Linked DNA regions of Lepisosteus oculatus. The protein of the gene in region 1 purifies or fractionates together with the protein of each later gene. This does not show direct contact. Links are inferred from orthologs where the notes say so. Each region holds a gene or a part of one and is shown on either strand. Other genes may lie near its edges.

The links.
Region 2: the proteins of raf1b (region 1) and emerin-like purify together in Homo sapiens (affinity purification with mass spectrometry; 3 studies listed by BioGRID and IntAct, with this or other methods). This does not show direct contact. The link is inferred for Lepisosteus oculatus from reciprocal best matches to the Homo sapiens genes RAF1 and EMD.

The regions. Positions count from the first base shown.
Region 1 is NC_090699.1:62,312,777-62,323,006, forward strand, and holds the start of raf1b (RAF proto-oncogene serine/threonine-protein kinase), read right to left. Parts: upstream 4,256-10,230; 5' UTR 3,952-4,255; exon of another isoform or gene 3,778-3,951; 5' UTR 3,624-3,777; intron 1-3,623. UniProt on the Homo sapiens protein: Serine/threonine-protein kinase that acts as a regulatory link between the membrane-associated Ras GTPases and the MAPK/ERK cascade, and this critical regulatory link functions as a switch determining cell fate decisions including proliferation, differentiation, apoptosis, survival and oncogenic transformation.
Region 2 is NC_090697.1:66,886,378-66,897,106, reverse strand, and holds the start of emerin-like, read left to right. Parts: upstream 1-6,686; 5' UTR 6,687-6,842; intron 6,843-9,943; 5' UTR 9,944-9,972; coding exon 9,973-10,054; intron 10,055-10,729. Other genes in the region: flna (filamin-A), read left to right, coding at 41-217, 1,156-1,374, 1,674-1,877, 2,525-2,712. UniProt on the Homo sapiens protein: Stabilizes and promotes the formation of a nuclear actin cortical network. Stimulates actin polymerization in vitro by binding and stabilizing the pointed end of growing filaments. Inhibits beta-catenin activity by preventing its accumulation in the nucleus.

The DNA of each region.
Region 1 (10,230 bases):
TGTCTCAAAGTAACTGACAGCCTACTGTTCACATGTATCTAATTCATGCTTTTGTGTTGTGATTAAGCGGGCTGTGTATAAACATCCTAAAGCATGGCAGTGATTTTTTCAAGAAAGGAATTAATGGAACCTGCTGTGATCAAGCCAGTGTTCACAGATCTGAGGGCAAAATCACAACATTTTCAGCCTAATTGGAACTACTTATATCCTTCAAGACATGGGGAAGTAGGTACAGTACATACGTACAATACTTAACATCAGTGACACCTTGAGCAGCACTGTCTTTCATTCAGATCAGCTCTTATACTAAATTACAAATTCTGCATCATCAGAATCCGGCTTTTGATGAGATCCAGAAAGATATTAGATGCAACTATTTAATAAACCTCCCTGACCACGCACTACACATATGTACAGTAGATACAAATGGGAAAACGGAGACCAGCCCCAGAGAACCTTGGAATGAGACACCTACTTATTACCAAACAGTTAAGACATAACTCCAGAGTTAAACAGCTAATTTCAAGAAGAGGGAAGTTATTTTAGGATTAAATTTCACTTCTGTAGAAGATATCATCAATTATTCAACATTTAAAAAAGCTAATTCAAAAGCAGATACAAGGTACCATAACAGAACCAGAACCAGGTTGTATAAAACACAATAAAAAAACATACATCTTAAGTCTTAAACATGGATTGTTTCTTGTTAACTAGGGAAGTAACATCAGTGTGTTCAGCTGCTTTGTACAACACCTCTAAATTCACAGAGCACTTGAGGAGAAAGTTAAGCAAGCATTTAACTTAAGGTGCTCAATGCAACTAGCCTTAATCATTTCAGGGCTGGGTTTGGGAGTAGGGAAGGGTTGGTAAGTTTGCTCAGTACCTCAAGTATATACATTGATGTTTCTGAAACTTACTAGGCTATGAAACAATTAGGTTATCTAGAGCCTTCCTTATCAATAGAGCCATTTTAACGCCACATTTTACCACACATGCATGACATGCATGGACTTGTCCTCAACACCTTGCGCTGCAGCTGCAGAGCAATTAATTCTAAAAGGATTGCATTTCCTAAAACGAAATTCAGTATAGGTAACGATAATCACATTTATGTTCCTATGCGCTTTACAACAGAAACATCTAAGAAAATATTTAGCTACATGTGTCTGAATAGGAGCTCATTTTATCCTTGTGTCATGCTATGCTTCTGAAATTTGTTTCCTGACTGTTGTCCACTGTTTCCACGACTTGAACCAAAGAAAAAATGAAGCCAGTGAAAGTAAGAGAGAACCTAAAATAACAAAGAGATTATTAGGCCTACTGCTCAGCATTTCACAGTTGAATTTTTACACACCTTTTCAAATAAAATCATTAGAGAAAATGCATTAACTCTCCATCACCTCCAGATACTAAAACATGGGCTCACACAAATTCAGCTGTGTGCGAATGTCTTAAAACCAAGCATTTAAACTCTCTGAGGCTGGTGCATTTTCAATGATAACAAACAAATTGCCAATTGCAAGCACCTTTTATTAACTGATAGCTTTTGAAGAGCTTTTACAGGCCATAAAACATTTAAAACCACCAAACAGTAGGCCACAACTTTTTGACAACATATGTAACATTTACATATTCTTAGGTGAGATTAACATACTCTGAGAATTCAAACACAGTACTCACATTTGGGCTATATAACACCCCTTCAGATCACGATCATCTTATATGGATTGACTGTGGTTTCTTTTCACCTACACCTGACCTCTGAGGCAGAACAGACACACACAAGAGTACAACTTATTGGCGAAATTGTCCACTGAGGCTAACAATATTGAGATGAGTAGCACAGAAAGAGACAAAGCATGGAGCCACCTGTGCATCTGTAGTTATGGGTAGTGTTGATAACACTGCACAGCCTTTCACAACTAAAGAAGACAAAGCCCAGCCATGAACTTGAAGCTAAAGAACGGAGGCATCCAGCCACTGAAATAGAGTTCACACGGCACGATTTGTTGCAGTAGCAGAGTATTTTGCAAAGGGAAGGCAAAGCTATTTGCACTTTTACATTCCACTTGAAACAAGTCAATACAACAATATCTGTACAACAATACACAACAGACCAAACCTAAAAAAGCATTTCAAACGATCATAACATCGAAGATAAAACCTCAATACATTTATAACAACCCCCTACGTTTGAGAAACCAGATCAAATCACCAGCCAGCACAAAACCCACAATGTGACCAAATAGTTTCTGAACAGCAATAAGCCACTTCAGACAAATTCAATTTTCTGTGGTATTGTAGTCTAAAATTACAGAGACAACTATTCCAGATAAAGTATGAAAATAATATTATCTTCTCTTGCACTCTGCTAAGAACGTCTGGAAAAGCAGGGAAATTACATTTCAAAATTGTATTATTCTATTTTTATTTTGTTTTTACACATTGCGATCAACGTTTACTGTGAACAACCTCCTAAATCACTGATGTTCTCCGATTAAATACCAAATGTATCATCAACGTTTTGTACTTGCCTAAAAACTCAAAACAACATACTTATTCTTTGAAGTGGTCAGTTACCCAGACATCACCTTATTATTAAACATAATCGTAAATGATGTGTTTATGAATCTCTCGCATGAATCAAGCGACACTGTCTCTTTAAATTCTCCACTAATTACTAGATTTCACTGTATCTTCAACTTCACAAGGTTAACAGCATCATGACTGTGAATCCAAGCACAAATATAATATTCATTTGCACTCTACTTTAACAGAAAAAAAATATAAAGATCGTGTGTGGCACTCTAATGTAGAAATACGATTTGTTCTTAAAACAAGAAGTTAATAAAAAAGCACATTTCGAAAAAGGGAATTTATTCTAGTTTGTGTTTTCCGTAAACTTCATTAAAGTTACATTTGAAGTGAGACAAATAGTAAACACGGTATAACTTTCATTTGAATTTCTTGAAGTGATTGCTGTTGGCGTTGCACATAATGATGTTTCTTAAAATATGTTAGCCTATATAATGCACAACAACGAGAATAACCTGATTAAAACGTTTTTCCACAAACTCTCCAATTGCAAAGCAATGTGAATTTTTCAGTTTCCCACTGATAGCACATTACAAGCCTGACGGTCACGTTCAGGGCTTCGATAATTCATTTTCCGAACTACCAGGCAACACAAAAGTAAAATACTTTAACACAACAATGGGATAAAAACAAGCGTTTCTTTCAGAACTCCCTTCATTAAATTGGGAACTGAAGATTTTTTTTTCATTCTATTGAACACATTAAGATTCTGGAATACAATGTCTCCGCCAGTGTTTCACGACGCCTCAGCTTTTGTGGGCTTTGTTCTGCCGTAGGGTATTATAAAGATGAAAACGAAACAACGTAACTAATTTCGTTACCCCCCCACCGAACCAACGGCCCATCTCTGACCGATCCAAACTCGCAGCGCGTAACAAAACACCGACGTTTTGCATTAATACTGAAACCTATTCGGCTAACATTTCGCAGGCTAACAGGGCGAACTGTTTAGATCGCAGCTTTCACAAAGGCAAAGCACCAAGTCAAACGAAACAAGACGTTGTAATGCAGCCACTGGTAAAACTTACCCAAGTTTGAAAACTTCGGCTCCGCCATAACTAGAAGAAAAAGTGGAGACTCGGTGACATCATCATCATAGCTGCACATTCACAGCAGAAAAGAGCTAGTGTAGCCAACTGTTTTGATCAGTCCTCCAGATTAAACTGATCGTGTGGGAGGTCACTGGAAGAAAAAAAAAAGTGCCACGGTGTTTTTTTTTCCCCCCTTTTTTTTTCTTCGTCTTTTAGTTGAATTTTACGATTATAATGCGTTTCGCTCGGTTTTCTTCGTAGCCTCGCCTTTGATCCATTACACTGCTTTCTTTATAGATTTAAATAAATGCAACCACATACACACCTTCTGGGTGTCACATGGGAACGTGAGCTAAAAAAAGCCAAAACAATTTAACTGCTATGGGACTTTCTGATCACCAGATAATCACAATGGGCACTGCCCAAGTGCCTTTCCCAGATACATTTCAGGAGGCTGTGTGCATCGATCTGTATTTTTGAGTAGAGACGCCGCTATTTGCACATTCCGTGACGCTTTTGAGAAGGTTAAGGTTTTTGTGTTAGTCCAGTGCGCCTGCTTGACGCCAGTAACTGAAATTGGATCCCTGGGTCTTGACTAGCAAGAATTACAGCCATGTACCTCACGTTACAAGGTTTGGCACTGTACGCTTTGAGCGTCCTATTAATCTTACATTAGAGCTCAGTTTGCGGTACTAACCGCTGGGGTAAAATACAGCTAGCTGAAAAGGTTTTGCAGTACTGAAAATACTCACACAGAGCTGCAGCACATTCCCCAGAATAACTACAGTTACACATTGAGGGAGTTCTCTCACTGCTAACCTTTTGTTTGAAGAAGCAAAAACATCGCCGGGTATATTATTTGACTTCATTTTCATGTCTAATTATGGATTCTGATGTGCTGATCATACATCAGAGTACCCTGGGTTTTTTTTAGAAAGTTCTTTCCAAAAGTATTCAAAATTTCAAATTCAAATACCTGCACAAGTATTCTTCTACAATTCTTAATGAGTTATTGTTGCTATTTTTTATTTGCAATGAAAGCAAGAAAACGAATTTTTGTGTATGCCATCAGTCTTCACTTCTTTCAGTACTGTCTGTTGTGCATGAAACTATCATCTCTTCCATAAAACCAGTTATTATGGGATTTTTTGCAAGCAGTATGATTATATAAGTAGAATGGAAAATATTTTGATTTGGTATGGCACTTACTCTATTAAAACTAAAAAGCAGGTTTACATTTTTCTGTTAACTGCCATGAAATCACAGTTAAAAGTTTTCATGTACAAATCGATGAAACACTAAGCTACAGCAGGCTCGAAGTTTTGGGCACCTCCCCTATGCTGTAAATTTCCTCTGTTGAAGTTGCTCATTAAATCAAAAGAGATAGGAAAAGTATCCAAACAAAACTTTGTTTTTTATTTCAGGTTTTCTTTCTTACCAGCTCACATCACGTGAACATTTATCATTGATTTGCCCAGAAATAAACAATGGTTGTCTTTTTTCTACTAGCTTCTTGGCTTTACATTCAGTGAAACTCTGTGATGAGGTGATATAATTACAGCTTTGTTTTTAAAGCAACTGTCAATCCACGGATGTTTGAACAATGAAAACAGAATTTTGAAATGGCATTTTTCAAGTATTCATTTTCCCAACAGCGCCAGTGACATTATTAACAATGAGGTTTTGGGATATTTTTCAACTAGCTAATGTTACTGCTGTATGTGAGCGGATTCACTAGGAAATATTGAATAAAGAGTGGAGATACATTTGTACCTCCAAGAGCATTTGTGAGAGAATGTTTTGGAAAAAATAAAATCTCATGAAATTCTGAAAGGCCAACCATTCCAGTTCCTGTTGACTGCAGATACTGTATGTTTGATACGAGACTCACTCTTGACAAGGTGGAGATCAAACAGAGGTTTGGAAAACAACACTTGTGTAGTTTACCTGCTTTTACCCAGCACTTATTTACATGATATGGGCATGTCATCTTAGCTTCTTTGTCATTCCAGAGAACTAAAATTCAACCAAAAGTGTCTCTGTAAAAGTCCGTCTGTAATTCTGATGTGATATGCTGGACAAATAGCATATACTGGAAATTTTTAATTGGAAAAGTTCTTGTCAGCTTTCTGTCTTGGCCAAACAATTATTCTCTTGGTAATCTCAGCCTACGTAACAAAGTGCACATTTCAGCTTTGCCCAGTACAGATTCTGATATGTGGTAATAACTGATCTTAAAAATAAAAGAATGCAGCTAGGTAAAATCCAGTAATCTTATTAACGTAAGATGCACAGGTTATCTTAGCTTGTGTATGAACTAAGTGGAACTGGTTAACTGCACAAAAACTTCATCTTCAAAATTCTATACCTCTTTATAAGGTGTGTAAGATTGAGTAATCATAACTGAATCTTCCCCGAAGTGCTGTATGAACTGTACATTGTCCAGAGCGAATCACTGAAAAATCACTGAAATTTGACCTAAATGTTAATGCTGGCATGCTGCTCATATGTTATGTCTTTACAACTAACAGTTGAGCTACTTTCGTACAAATCCCCAAATCTGTAAATGCTTAAAAAGATCAACCTCGGCACAGCACACAAATAATTTCCTTACAACTCAACTCTGATCCATTTCTAAGGCTATTTTCAATATTTTTACATTCCGTCTAATTAAAAAGGCTACAAGCAAACCCTTTCTCTTACAGACGGTAATTGCCAATCATATTTCCTGACATGCTTTATGAAAGGGGGATTAACCCTACCCCGTCTTGCTTTGCTAGAAGACAGAAACTGGGTCATATAATGTCATCAGCAAACCACAATAAAGCTAAAGAGATGAAAACTGAAGTTTCTGCTACAAACAGGCCTGCAACCACAACACAGTAAAGTGAATAGAAGAAACCTCACAACTTGAAGCCTAAATGCCTTTGCGTCACAATTCATTCTCCAGTACTCCAATAGCAAAACTGGACTCAAAAGTGGGATAAAAAGTATTCCTCTGCTTTGTAGTTTGTGGGGACACTGAGCTGTATTTATTTTTCATCAAAAGAAAATCAGTAAGTTTCTCCGGCTTTGTTTTCACGTTACTTCTGACTTTAATGGGTTTGATAGAAATCATTTTTTGCAGTTGGGAAAATTCATGAGAGAATTTCAGACTTAATCTCCCCATGGCTGCCTTCCCATTCGTTAAAGGGTAAAATGCAGTAGCACGTTATCAGATATGCAATAGGCTGTTACTGTATGTGCGACGCATGCCTTAGAGGTTTCAAGGATGTTTGCTGACAGAAAAGGTTTGCTTTGGTTAACCTTTATGTTTAAATTCACTGACCAAACCCTTAACAAATGTATATTAAAAATTCTGTGTTCCCTCTAATCATCTATATTTAGTTTCTGCTGACGAGGGCACGTGCAGACGTTAGGAGGCTGTTTCCTCTCTTATTTCAGAGCTATGAACCGCACCTTAGGCTAACCCTCTGAATTTCCTTCTCGTGTTTTTTAGCCATTGCAAAGCTTTGCAAGTTTCACTACATTTCAGATTTTTCTGATCTGAACCAAAAGCACCCATCAAAAGCAACATTAAGCCATTTTGATCCAGGTAATCCAAGTAGGCTGTAACTTATTTCAGAACTGTCTAGCACATATGATTCTCTGTGAACTTGTACAATGTGAATGGATTATTTCTTGGTCATTTATTAAATGACACAGCTCTAAGCACCACAATGAGATGAATAGAAAGCAATTGCATGGCATCGATTTTGAATGGAGGTCATACATTTTGAATTTACGTGCTTTGTAAATGTCGTCTATTTTTAAGGCATGTAGTGCAATTACATGAAACAAACCTTCTTTTTTTGTAAAAAGCAATACATTATGGAGGGTTTTTAGTAAAACGAATTAACTCAGCCCTGCTCCCATCAGTTTTGTGTGACCTGTCAGCTATTGATCAATGGAGTAAAGAATCTAACATTTGCCTTTGGTCTAATATGAGGAAATAAAACAAGACCAGAATAGCTGTATTGAAAACTCAATATTTTAAAAGAGTAGAGGAATAAACCCATAGAAAGTAAAGAGTGCCACTCTCTGGCTGAAATAATAAAGTGCAAGTTCAAAATCTAAAAAGACTTCCCTGCAGATGGTAACTACATTTAGTGCTGATGCCTGCTGATAGGCCTAGAAATGCATTCTAGGTTCATCTCACCTGTACACCAAGACATTTCATGCCTTATATAACTAAGAACTAAAGGACACTTAAGGGTTTATAAAGCTATGGGGGTTGGGTAAGTGTTTTGAATATGGTGACCTACAGTATGTTCCTTACATCACTGTTTGTGGTTTAAAAATTACCTTTAAATGAACAAAAATGTATATGAAATATGTTAAGGTAAAGCAATATTGTAAGAATTATGAGTAAAAAGGCAAACTATAAATATTGTCCAAGTTACAAATGTGAGCTGTGAAAAAGACTATTGTACAAGTGTTAAATTTTTTAATTCTTGTATTTACACATCTTGCCTTTTTTCTCTGGTGTGTAATCTTACCTGTACTTAGTACATAAGATATTGTTGATTAGTTGACTCATTAAGGTATGTGCAGTAAAACAAATTAAGATTACACGTAACAAAAGGTTTTAAATTAAAGCTAAAAAATGTGTCACTTACTTTATTCCTTTCCAAACTCTCTGTTATTTCACTGGAGATTATATCCAGAGGAATATGAATATAGAATATAAGTTAACATTTATTATATTATTCTTCAGTCTTCGGTCTTTATTCTTAATATTCTTAACAATTTAATCAAAGGTAGAATTTTGCCAACACGAGCTATGATTTAGCATCATAGTTAAATGTTATTAGGGAGTTTGGAAAAGACTATTTTTAAGCAGACTAAATAGCATAATCTAATCTAATTAATATATCATGATATTAGATTCAAATTCTACACTTTCATACTGTATCTCTGACTCCACATGGGATGTACTGCAGGTCTATATTTTGAATGATAATTCATATATAAAAGAGTGCCCACTCTTTCTCTCTCTTAATCTAATTATTCTTAGTCTCCAAATGGTTTTGTAGTCATTTGTTGTGCAGTATATTAAAACAGTATATCCATTGTGAAATACAGTATTTTATCATTAAAAACAGAAGTGACCTTTCTATTTTACCCAAAACACAATTTCTATATATTCATATTTATTATCAAATTACACATTCCTGGAAAAATGGTCAAAATTAAAACAAAATAATTATTGTTGCACAAAGTGTTCTTTTTCTTAAGAAGTTAGTGTGATCTTGTTATATAATCATACAGCAACATTCCTTTCTAAATATAATCAATATACCATCTTTTGCTATTTTTTTTGGGTTTGTTTTCAAATCAGTGTACATATGGTAATAATTCAGTTGACACAGGTGCTGTTTTCTGGACATTGAGACTACCATTAAAGCTTTTTCTTGACTTTAACAAAACTAGCTATTTTTAGAAAAGAGACAAAATGAATTGGAAATGCATGTCATCAAAAACCTTGCAGAAGTACAACATAAAAGTATCTTCTGCAGAGACATGCAACTTCATTGCAGTTTCATTCTAAGGTAATAAATCGTCATCTTAATTTCATAATTGTGGTCTGTTTGTACACCACTATTAAAATCCTCTGATGTTAAAGCATGCATCTTAATAACTAAAGCCGCTCCAGGACTGGAGGAAGAACTCACCTGGAGTTGCTGGGACAGGTGTCATTGTTGAACAAGAGCTTTTCCCATCGCAGGCTACCGAGTGCAGGAGAACCTAACATTGTTAACCTGCGGAAGGTGCACTGATTCCCACCCCCAAACTACTTGCACTGCTTCCATTACAAAGCAGAGTCTGAGGGGCAAGCAGCCCGCTTCTCAAAAGGTTACCTTGCTCAAGACTGCGCAGGGGCATGAAGGTGTGAGATTCCTACTGCTCAGTTTCGTTCTGTTGTCGTCTTTTTTGGATTTTTAGAATGATGTTTTTAAACCAAACATAGGCTTTAGGAAGGGCAGCAAATTGCACGTCATCCTCTGAATTCTTAGGAGGCAAACAATGAGAACAGCTCACATGGTCCTCGCTGGAAGATGAGGAGAGGATGTCTGTTAAAGAGCCTAGGAGATCATATTTAAGGTATTCCCCTAAGCTTGCATCATTTTATAACCACAACTGCTTAAGGAAGTAGTAGCAATTCTCTCACCCTCAGAAAATGGATTAAAAACATGATGTCTAATTCAACAGTGTATCATCACCTAATCTAATAATTGATTTATAAACTGATTGAATTGTTCATGAGGAATGAGAATGAGAAATTCATGATTAGGACGTAATTGTTCAATTATAAAGAGATGAAAGAGCCCTTGGTCTTATTGTTTGTGATCCATAAAAAACAGTTGAGTTTACAATGCAGAATCTTTTATTAGTCTTACAGTGTGTGCTGTTCCAGCCACATTGCCATCTCTGTCAATTTAATTTGTTATCACCTTTAGTGGGTGCACGATTGCTCCCGGTACTCACACTTGATGTTAATTATGAAATGTATTATCAATGAATAGAAGAATTAAGCATAATCCAACATAAAAGTGAATAAGCC
Region 2 (10,729 bases), on another chromosome or scaffold:
TAATGGGCTGAATTTTGACTGGTGATTGTTTGGGTTTCAGACAAGTATGCAGTAAGGTTCATTCCTCGTGAGAATGGGCTCTACCTGATTGATGTCAAGTTCAATGGCTCCCACATTCCTGGAAGCCCCTTCAAGATCCGTGTTGGCGAGACTGGGCAGGCAGGTGACCCAGGCATGGTGTCTGCATATGGGGCAGGACTGGAGGGAGGAAATACTGGTATGTATCTTGTAAGGATGGTCTGTTTGGTCATAGTCTGATTTTGTTCTAGGCCATTTGTGTTGTTAAATTAAATGGTTCTCCTTAGTGGAGCTTAGTTGGTTCTAGTAATAGGTTTATTCCATGCTGAAAAAAAGAAGAAAGAGAACACAACGTTTCGGCCGTGGAGCCTTCTTCAGGTGTGAGAGAGACAGGGCAGTAGGCAAAGGTAAAGTAGCGGGAGAACAAAGGTTGAGAGGGAGGAGGAGTGAGAGGCGGGAGCAGGGGACAGAAAGAGAGGCCAATCAAGAGGTGTGAAGTCAGAATGGGTGCAGAGAGGTGTGAAATGAAACTTCCAATGAATGGAGAAAATTTAAAAGAACAGTAATCTGTCGTTAAGGGAAGGGAGAATGTGTGATCCTAGCTGCAGAATAATTTTAGTTTCGGTGGTCTTTCTGATGTATGAGTTCGGAAAACTGTCTTTGAGAACACAGACGGAGAGATTAGAGTGGTCGTGGCCGTCAGAGGTGAAATGAGAAACAATGGGCTTGGAGAGATCTTTAATCTTCACAGCCCTGACGTGTTCTCTGAAGCGGTCTCCTTCCTGTTTCCCCAATGTAGATGGCTGGGCATTTACTGCAAGAGATACTTAGTTGGTTCTGTCTGCTTTTTGTACCACAAAGGAAATTAACATCTTTGCTAGGTGGCCGTGTCCTTGCAGTGCTTGGTTACAGTGCAACTTTCATTCAGAAGAGTGTACATAATCCAGATATCTGTTTATTACGTTGTTTACCATAGGATTGTATTTAAACAGTGGAAAATCTCATTGCCTACTACGTAGTCTTACCCAATAAATACAATTGATTTTATTATTTAATGATTCTCAGTGAGGCATGAGCAAATTACTGCTGAGTTGCAGGAAGTGTTTTGGATCTTTACTTACTCTTCTGGTTTTCCAGGCTCTCCATGTGAATTCATTGTGAACACAAGTTCAGCTGGCCCTGGAGCCCTTGCTGTCACCATAGATGGGCCATCCAAGGTCAAGATGGACTGCCAGGAGTGTCCTGAAGGCTACAAAGTCATATACACACCAATGGCCCCTGGGAACTACCTGATCTCCATCAAGTATGGTGGCCCCTACCACATTGTAGGAAGTCCCTACAAAGCCAAGATCACTGGTAAGATGGCATTACATAAAGCTGGACCAGAAGTAGGTGGGGGTGTGATCACTTTGGATTTAGCACTTATTCCTGTGACTGGCCAGTTTCTTAATGAAAACTGGAAGCTAGGCATTTACAAAATCCATGACGCAAATTAATTGTGAAAGTGAAAAAGTCAACTGGCGAAACTGTTAGGGGTAGAATTGAAGCATGTTAACTTTTTTTTAACTTGTGCACCCTGGTGAGAAACCCCATTTAGACAAATGTTTAATGCTATTGGACAAACCTGAGTTTTACAGCCAAGTTCTTTTCTGTAGGCCCCCGGTTAGTGAGCAGTCACAGCCTCCATGAGACGTCTTCCGTCCTCGTTGATCCCATTTCTCGGAGTTCAGCCACCATGCAGCAGGGGGCGCCAGCCTGGGCCTCTTCGGATGCCAGCCATGTTGTTGCCAAGGGGCTAGGCCTTACTAAAGGCTTTGTGGGCCAGAAGAACAGCTTCAGTGTGGACTGTAGCAAAGCAGGTATGCCTCTGTGTATTTCTTAAAATTCATGTCTTGTGAAAGTGGTACAAAAACTTTCTGTAACAATTAAAGATAATGATTTATAGCTAAGATGTATCAAGTGCTTCTACAAAATGCTATAGCATGCCAATTGGGGGCAAAAATGGTTTTGAAGTTTAGCTTTGTTTTAAAATTATTTGACTTCCATAAAATCAAAGTTTATCAAATGCACAACAATACAGCATGCAGCAGTGGTTGCTGGCAATGAGATGTCTGTTCTGCAAGCTCACAAGAATCACAAAAACCTTAAAGTTTGAGATTTGTGTTATCTTATTTAATTCAGAAGTTAAATTGGTCTGTAATGTTGCGCAAATTGCCCTTTATCTGAAGAAATGTAAAAAGTCTTCAATTCTGAAAAGACCTTCCATGATTTCAATACTGACCCCTTAAATCTTTTTTTAAAATAGAATACCTAGCCAACATGGGACAGAACTGTTTTTTCCACACAGAAGTCTGGGGTGGTGAGCTAACTGCTGCTTGCAGGACAGTACTTTTCCACAGAATAGAGACACTCATTTTCAGGGCAAACAGTATGAGCCACACTTGTCTGAGAACGATACTCATGATTTGTAAAATGTTGCACTATTAATATCTTTATGGTTCAACAGGCAGGAACATGCTGCTGGTGGGAGTGGACGGTCCCAAGGTGCCTTGTGAGGAGATTCTGGTCAAGCACCTGGGTAACCGCCTGTACAACGTGAGCTACCAGTTGAAAGAGAAAGGCGACTACATTCTGGTTGTGAAATGGGGTGATGAGCATATTCCTGGCAGCCCTTTCCACATCTCTGTGCCCTAAAGTCTCCTCCTGCCCCCTTTCCCTCCCTGCTTACAGAGGATAATGCACACTGTGCCCTTAACCTCTCCTCCTCCCATTATTTTTGAAAAGCAAGCACCTTCACTCTAAATCGAAATCATGACCTTCTATTCTTGTTGCAGCAAAGCCTAAACAAAACCAGAAGTTTGTTCTTTATGCTTAGTGCTATGGATTTTTTTTTTTGATGGTTACCTGTTTTTGGATTTATGCCCAGGATGGTAGTATAGCTGCTAATTTGTCTTAATAGAATAGCTAACCCTGTTGTAGGCACTATTCTAGTTCTGAAGTGACTGTCCATCCTACATTTATAGACCTTTTCCTGAGTGTTCAGAATCGAACTGGATTCCCACTGGAGGAAAAGGCAAGTCAGATTTTGAACCTCTAGGACACTTAACTAATATTACAACTGTTAACAGAATCGTCGTCAAAGTACTCTTTACCTTAGAGACCGTCTGCAGATGTTAAAGGGAATAGTCTAAATTCTTAAAGATATTGCTAAATTAAAATTGAGAGAATAGAAGATGTCAATGAGAGTAATGTACAGTAGTATGTTAGGAGTTAGGTGGTTATATGGTGGTTGAAGACTTGACACTTTTCCAGTTTGATGCTTTTTGTGAACAAACATGGTTGTGATATGCAACAAAAGGTCACTGTCACTTTCCCCTTACACTTTTTGTACTTTTTGTCCAGAATATTCAATGTCTTTTGAAAGAAAATGTACTTTTGAGGAAATAAGCCTTTAAGAATGTTAGACTGTTACAGTATTTTGATACACAAAGTTGTCTTAAATTTTTACTGTTTACCATTAAACTTGAAAATGGCTTATTGGTTTTCGTTTCTTTTATTTTGTGGCGGAGCTTAAACAAGATGGTATTCTGAAAGATTTGAATGTGCAGATTTTTCTGGCTATCCAATGAGGAAGCTGGATTTTAATATACTCTGCCTTTTCAGATTGAATCTTGTTTATAATGCCAGTTCAATCAGATTTTTTTTATTCAAAATTGATTTGTCATTCTGTAACTTTGGTATTTGAGAAATAAGCCCAGCTGAAAAGTCTTTCCCAAATTCCTTTACTGTTTTCCATGGTTGCTTCCATCCACAGTTCTGAGCTCCTGCAAAGGATCTCAATTTTAACAGTGCTCTAATGTTCTACATTTTAAAACCCATGTCAAACTTTAAAAAGCACAGAAGCTAATTTTCAGAATGTTGCGACAATGGTGTACCAACAGTTACCACTGCCTACAAGGAATGATCTTCAATTTCTTCCATTGAAAACTTCAGATTTAAGGTTATTTATACACTTGAGTGTCTGTCGGCTTCTATGATGGTCTTAACTGTGCAAAAGGGGGGACAAAGCTTTTGCTTTCGAGTTATCCTGATTATCTTTCTCATTTCTTAACTTGCACATCAGCCGTTTTTAGCCTTCCAAATGATCAGTTGTTCTTTAATAAAATTATGCTTTAATACAAGCTTGTGTCCAAGTCTGTTTTTTTTAATTAGGGCTATAAGAGCCCAGTTTTGGCTGCATTTCAAATTTTGGTTTGTAGAGTTCTGATGGATACTTATGGGGGTGGTATGAATTCAGTGCTGCCCTCTATTGCAATATACTGTAGATCCTTAATGTAGATGGTTCTATGTTCAGATTGCTAATATGACACCATTTAGTTATTCTGCACACAGGGATAAAGATGATCCTGGAATTTTTGTTAATACCTTAAACACTTATTTTCCCTGGGAATCGGTTTGCCATTTAAAGCTTTAAATATGGGTTACATAAACAGGCTTTCTACTTTATTTGCAGGTTGTAGCTTACACATCATAGGATTGTATAATGTATTGCTCAAAGAGGGGCAGGTATTGTAACTAGCAGTAAGTCGGTTACATTAGCTTAGTCTTCACATGCACATGTACTCATTTTTAATTAAAAAAAGGGTTAAATTTTCCTCTTCATGCATCCTTAATCGGTGTTAATTAAAGGATCTTTGAAGTCTGGATCTTTCTTCTAAACGTTGTGCCTTCACTGCTGTGGATTTGATAATGCCAAGTCTTAATCACTGCATAAGGTCTTCAACCTTGGTACTGGAGAACCAATCCAAGTTGTTTACTAGGCCACCAGTTTTTATAAATTTGACATTTGAGAGCTATGGATGAATCTTGCAAGTAATCTGTACTATTAAGTGAACTTGGGTGCTTGAGTGGTGTAAAGTACTTGGATATTAATTAAGGAATTGGAAGTTTTAAAAATCACCTGTTTAATTGATCAGAATGAGTTTGTTCTGTAGCTTGAGATATGGCTAATTTAAATTTTAAAGGTGACCTATGCTATCTGATGGATTGGGGCTCTCTAGGACCAGGTATAATGGGTACCTTAATATGAATTTGAACACTGGTCTCAAACCCAATTCCTCAAGGACCTACCATCTTCTGGTCTCACACACAGGTGAAGGTAGCTGTAGCTTTAATGTAAATGGTACACCAAATTTTAGACAATTGCACACAATCTAATCTACTTCATATTTGCACATGTAAATACTTAGAATATGCACAGCACAGTTCTGTAATCTCCAGGTGAACATTGCCCTCAACCTTCTTCACATATGTGCTCAGCCAGTGCTTACCTATACATCTTTGGGAATATTTTATAAATTCTTTAGGGAATATGTTTAGGAATGTGAGTGTAGTTGAGGCACAGTGCATGACTGCTCCTTTTGACACCAGCTTTTGCTGTTGGGACTACCTGCTGCTACAATACTCACCCTGTTAAGATAATGAATGTGAGACCTTAACCAGCCATGCAGAAACTTCACATGGAAAGAAGTATGACAAGGCCATATTTAATGAATGCCAAAACTGTTTTTTTTCCCTCTGGGTGTGAACATTTCTCTTTCCTTTTAATTACTCCCCCCTTTAAGTATTGGAGATCCCATTCTTTGCATTTGTTGTATTTCTGAATGTTTGGGACACCCAACAGGAACATTCAACCACCCAGAGGTACTGAACTCAGATTGGTAGTGGTCTGTAGGCATTAGCTGTTTTTACTGTTACCCTAATGTGGGTAAAGACTAAAAATACACAACTGGTACAAATCCGATGGGTATGAAAATAACTTGAATACTAATAATTCAGGAGATCTGTCAGTGTTGATTATGTGGGTGTAGTGAGCCTGTACATAGGTGCTTGGTACAGTATCTCCCATCAATCTACTGAATTGTTAAAGCATATGAATTAAGCTCTTACAATTCAGTTTATGCAAGTAATGTGTTATGGGTTGTAAAACTTCACAATCATGTTATTTGCTTGAACAGCAAATAAGGCATACAGTAAAATGGGTTTCAGGTATTTTGTGAGACCTTCACCTTGGATCCTCAGAATTTGTACTTTTAGTCATGTAAATTAACCAATGTTTATATCATTATGAGCTTATCACTGACATCCATAAGGGCCACTAAACCACAAACCAGAAAACAAGGTGAAACTCCAATGGGGATGTACAGTACTTTTAAAAGTAAGAACAGTAGTCACACTTTTACCCAAACGGTTGTGTGCGTATGAAACATGCTGAACAGCTATGTTGCGGAAGCCGATACCTTGGTAGTGTTCGTACAGTAGGTGTATTTTTTTCGTTCAAGCTAAATCTAATGATAAACACACTGGGTATATTATTTTTTTCTTACCTATGCAGTGAGTTGGAGTTCCAGACAGAGGGCGTATTGAAGTAGCTCAGCAGTGGATTGCACCAGATTTGAAATACCAAAAAAAGCGGGAATACAGTACATCGGTTTTACAACCAACGCCCTAGTTTCTTCACCCAATTCACAGCTGGAGGAGAAAAAAAAAAGCTCTGGAAATTTTCGTTTTTCCTTATTAGGGTAACAACGAATTGCACTTCACTCTATTGTAACAGGCGAGGGCGCCAGTGAGACGCTCCTCGTTGACGCAGCAAACTGTGGGCCGCAATCACATGCAGTCGAGAGACGTTCACCATTGGAGCTACGGAGAAAGAGCAGCTTCCGATACAGAGCTTTCGTTTTTCAAAAAGGAGAGGTGACATTACTCGGGAATTCGCTGTTACAGAAAGAGTAGTTATTTGCTTATTGCTCTTTGTCCTGAAGGTAAGATGCCTTTTTTTCAAATAAGATCCTTTAGCCTTGTTTCTCTGGGGAGCAGAGAGAGGTGTGTGCTGCGAGAAACGTGTCCCTGCATTAGTTTAATAGAAATCAATTGCCGTTTGCTTCGCGGACCTCCCATTTTATTTTTTTAAATATGAACAACGCCCTGTCGCTGTAACGTAGTTAGCTGGATTTGCAACACTTATGAGCTGACGTATATTTCTGAATATATTTCTACTTGGTAAATCACAAGTTAAGTTTTGGAGTTAGCGTATTATTGAGGCACATGGCGTCTTTGCGAAGTGATGCCCTGTATTCTAGCCATGAATGTCCTCAAACGAAGTCGTTTTGATTTTATGGGCAGTCGCTTGTGTAAAAGAAGTGGTCTCATTCTAAAGTTTTTTGTCCTTGTGCATACGATGCGTGAATTGAATGCACTTTGTTTTGCTTGTTCTGTTATTATTTTACAACATTTCAACAACTATTCATACAGTGTGTGTTGTTTTGTACTGTATATGTATAGGTTTTATTTCGTAATCTGTAATCCCCATTCATTTTTTCTTAACGATCACCACGAAAGGTTGGTATATCATTTTGTCCTAAAACTAACTTTTAGTTTTGACACCTTTAAAGTTAAAGATTTAACTCGTTTGTCTCCTTTTTCGTCTGGAACACACTAAAAGAACTGTTGTTTGAATCACATGAACACATGAAATTATCTACTGCTGCTTAAATCGTACAAACATGGCTCATTTTAGTTATTGTACTATATACTAGTAATGATGATATATCCATTCACGGGGGGAATGCTCATTGTTTAATTTTAGTTTGTTACAATACATTGTTTATATAAACCTCGGACCTTAGAGAAAGATAAAACTGAAGTTCACATTACCATAGCTCAACCATTTAGTTGAAGTGAAACTGGAAAGAGATTGTTGATGAAAATATTATTCAACAATATAGCCTATAGGGATTAGATTGTGGAAATAATCTTCCGACACATATACCTTACATGGAAATTATGAGAAGAGCAGGCGATATCGTGTGGACATGAATTTATAAAGCTTCGGTTTTGGGATTGTAGTTCATTCCAGAAACAACCCGTGATTTGTAAAAGCTCCGTTTTCGGATAATCGCAGGTTACACTCTTTCACTGAAAGCAGACTCTTTGGTCTCTCGGAAGAATGTACCAAATTACAAGCAACAACCACAGCCTTACCTGGTTTATTTAAGAGTGAACTTAGTAAGATAATAATAAGATATACAATATTTAGTTAAACTGTGAATGCGTTTTAAACCGATAAGTTGCAGTATTATTTTAAACTGACTGATTCAGACATTGTTTGTCCTGTATATCATGACACATTAAAACTGATGTTGAATCCTTTTTTGCAGTGATGTTATCTTTAAATCTGTGTGTATCTTATTTTTCCAGAGGCTTGAATGTCAAGGCCCATTAAGCAAGAATAATAGTCATTATTGATTATTTTCTAACATGACCACACTGATCCGTGTTACCTATACATTTTAACAGGCTAAATACGGTGAGGTTACAAGGCGGAGATATGGATCTTTTCATTTGCTTTCTCCATAAAACAAGTCATAATTTATTTCCTTTTTTCTTTCTTTTGTTTATCCTGTAAGCAAATCATCAATCATCTTAACCAGAGCCTTGTCAGTACCATACAATAGCCTAAGTCAGGGTTCTCCAAACCAGGTCCTTGAGAGCCCCAATCCAGCAATTGTTGTACTGTAGTTTACTATTAAAGCAATTTCTAAAGATATGAAACAATTCCACTGTGGTCAGTTCAACGGTCAATTTGTGAAACTATGTAGAGTTCATTTATGCCTAGACTTTATGTAGTGTTCAGCCCTGGAGGACTGCAATGCTATTTTTATATTTCCAGGAAAGACTCAGCATTGATGAGTGCATTTCAAACCATGATGAAAGTAAAATGTACACAGCAATGTGTAAAACTTCCTATTTACATTGAAAAAAAATAGAAATTTCCAGGTATGTGCAGCGCTAAGTTCTGCGATTTAGAAAGAGACAACAAAACTTCTGGTGAGGTGAAGTGGCCATATTACATTGTAAAGATGCAGACTATTGAATGCATCTCTTTTAATCCAATAGAAATATTGCTCTCGATTTCCAGATTATTTTGGCGCAAGAATACTACTTGTTAACTGCGTGCAGATCACGTTGGAACAGTTCTGCGCTGAAATGACTGCGGCACAACCTGTAATTAATTGGTCCTACGTTGCATTATATATAGGAAGCATGAAGGTCTGCACCACGTCACAGTTTGTACAAACTCTCTCTCTTGGCCGTGGCAAGACCAGGAGTTTGCTACGAAATGGTGACTTTACAGTACTTTCACAAAGTTCACCATTTTGTGCTTAACTCGGAATTTGTAAAATTTTGCAATACCTTCTATTTGTTCATGTTACTGAGATTTTAAAACCAGTATGAGGAATTGGGACTGCAGTTCTCCTTTAAAAACAGATGACCTATAAGACTACAGGAGCTGGTGTGAGGCTCTCCAAGACTAGGGCTCTAGAGTTCTGGCCTAAAGTCATGTAAATTTAAAGAAGGCCAGCCAGATTATATGCTATATTTGTGTTGGAGGAGAGCACAAGTGGAGCAGACTGAAAATTTGAAGGCAAGAGAGGGAAGCATGAGGAGAACAGACTTGGAAATAAAAAGCAACAGAGTTGGGCGGGAGTAAAGAGCATCTGATCCCTGGGCAGTCTTGTGTGCCCACTGTGCTCTGCCATACAGGAGACCCCAGTGTGACTGACATTCAGCTCATACACTTGGAGGAACAGCAGCTGTTACTGGGTGTGCCCATAAATGCTACACAAAGATGTCTGGGGTATGATTTTGATACGTGGCTTTTTCAAAGTAAGCAATGGGTAAAAACCCAGCTAAAGAAAATCAGAGCTTAAAATATGACTGTCCAAGTTTTAAACATCTCAGCATCTGCATATTCTGCTGTTGTCAGTGTTGCAAAATGGTGACTAGCGTCCCAGTGTCCTAGAAACACAAATCTGGTCACCTACCCCTTCAGTGTATAATATCTCTTTTTTCTTTTTTCCAGGCATCTGAGAGCATTGCTTCCTGACAGACATGACCAAACTCAGCAGCAAGTCCGATCAAGAAATCATTGATCTTCTGGACCAGTATGGACTGAAACATGGACCCATAGTGGGTATGTTTCCCTAGATCTCACAAACCAGCAGACGATTTCTGTCATTTAGATATATTAAGTTATTTAAATTCAGCTAAGTTGTGTGACAAAATCTTTGCCTTGGGGCATAGGTTTTTGTATAGACTCCACACAAAACCATTCTCACTTCCAGCAAAGCTCCTTTATCACCCAGTGGCCCCGAATTAAATTTTGGTTTTACCACGGCACTTAACTGTTGATATCATGATCTCCAGAACTCACATCCAACTTATTTCCAATCTTATGAAAGATCTGCAGGAAGATGTATTTTGAATGAAGAGGACAGATTGTAATGACAGAGTATGCCGCATACGTACTGTAACTAGAATAATTTACCTCTTAACTGCACAACCACTGAAAAAAGACCATACAGCACCACTACAATTAAGCCAAAAACCTTGAAAATTGTAGAACAAATTCAAAATGGTACATATTGGTAGTATGTAGCTATTATTACCGTTACCATATTATACTATTATTGCTGATAAGTGTATATTGCAGTTTCCCAGTAAAGCAGTTCACACAGAGCTCTCTAAATATCATTTTCAGATGTGCACTATTTAAGAATTTATTTTGTTTCCGTATTACCAGAAAACCTTTGAAAGGTTGTGGAAATCTGAGTTGGTCCAGACACTTACAGTCACTGTAAGAAGTTTC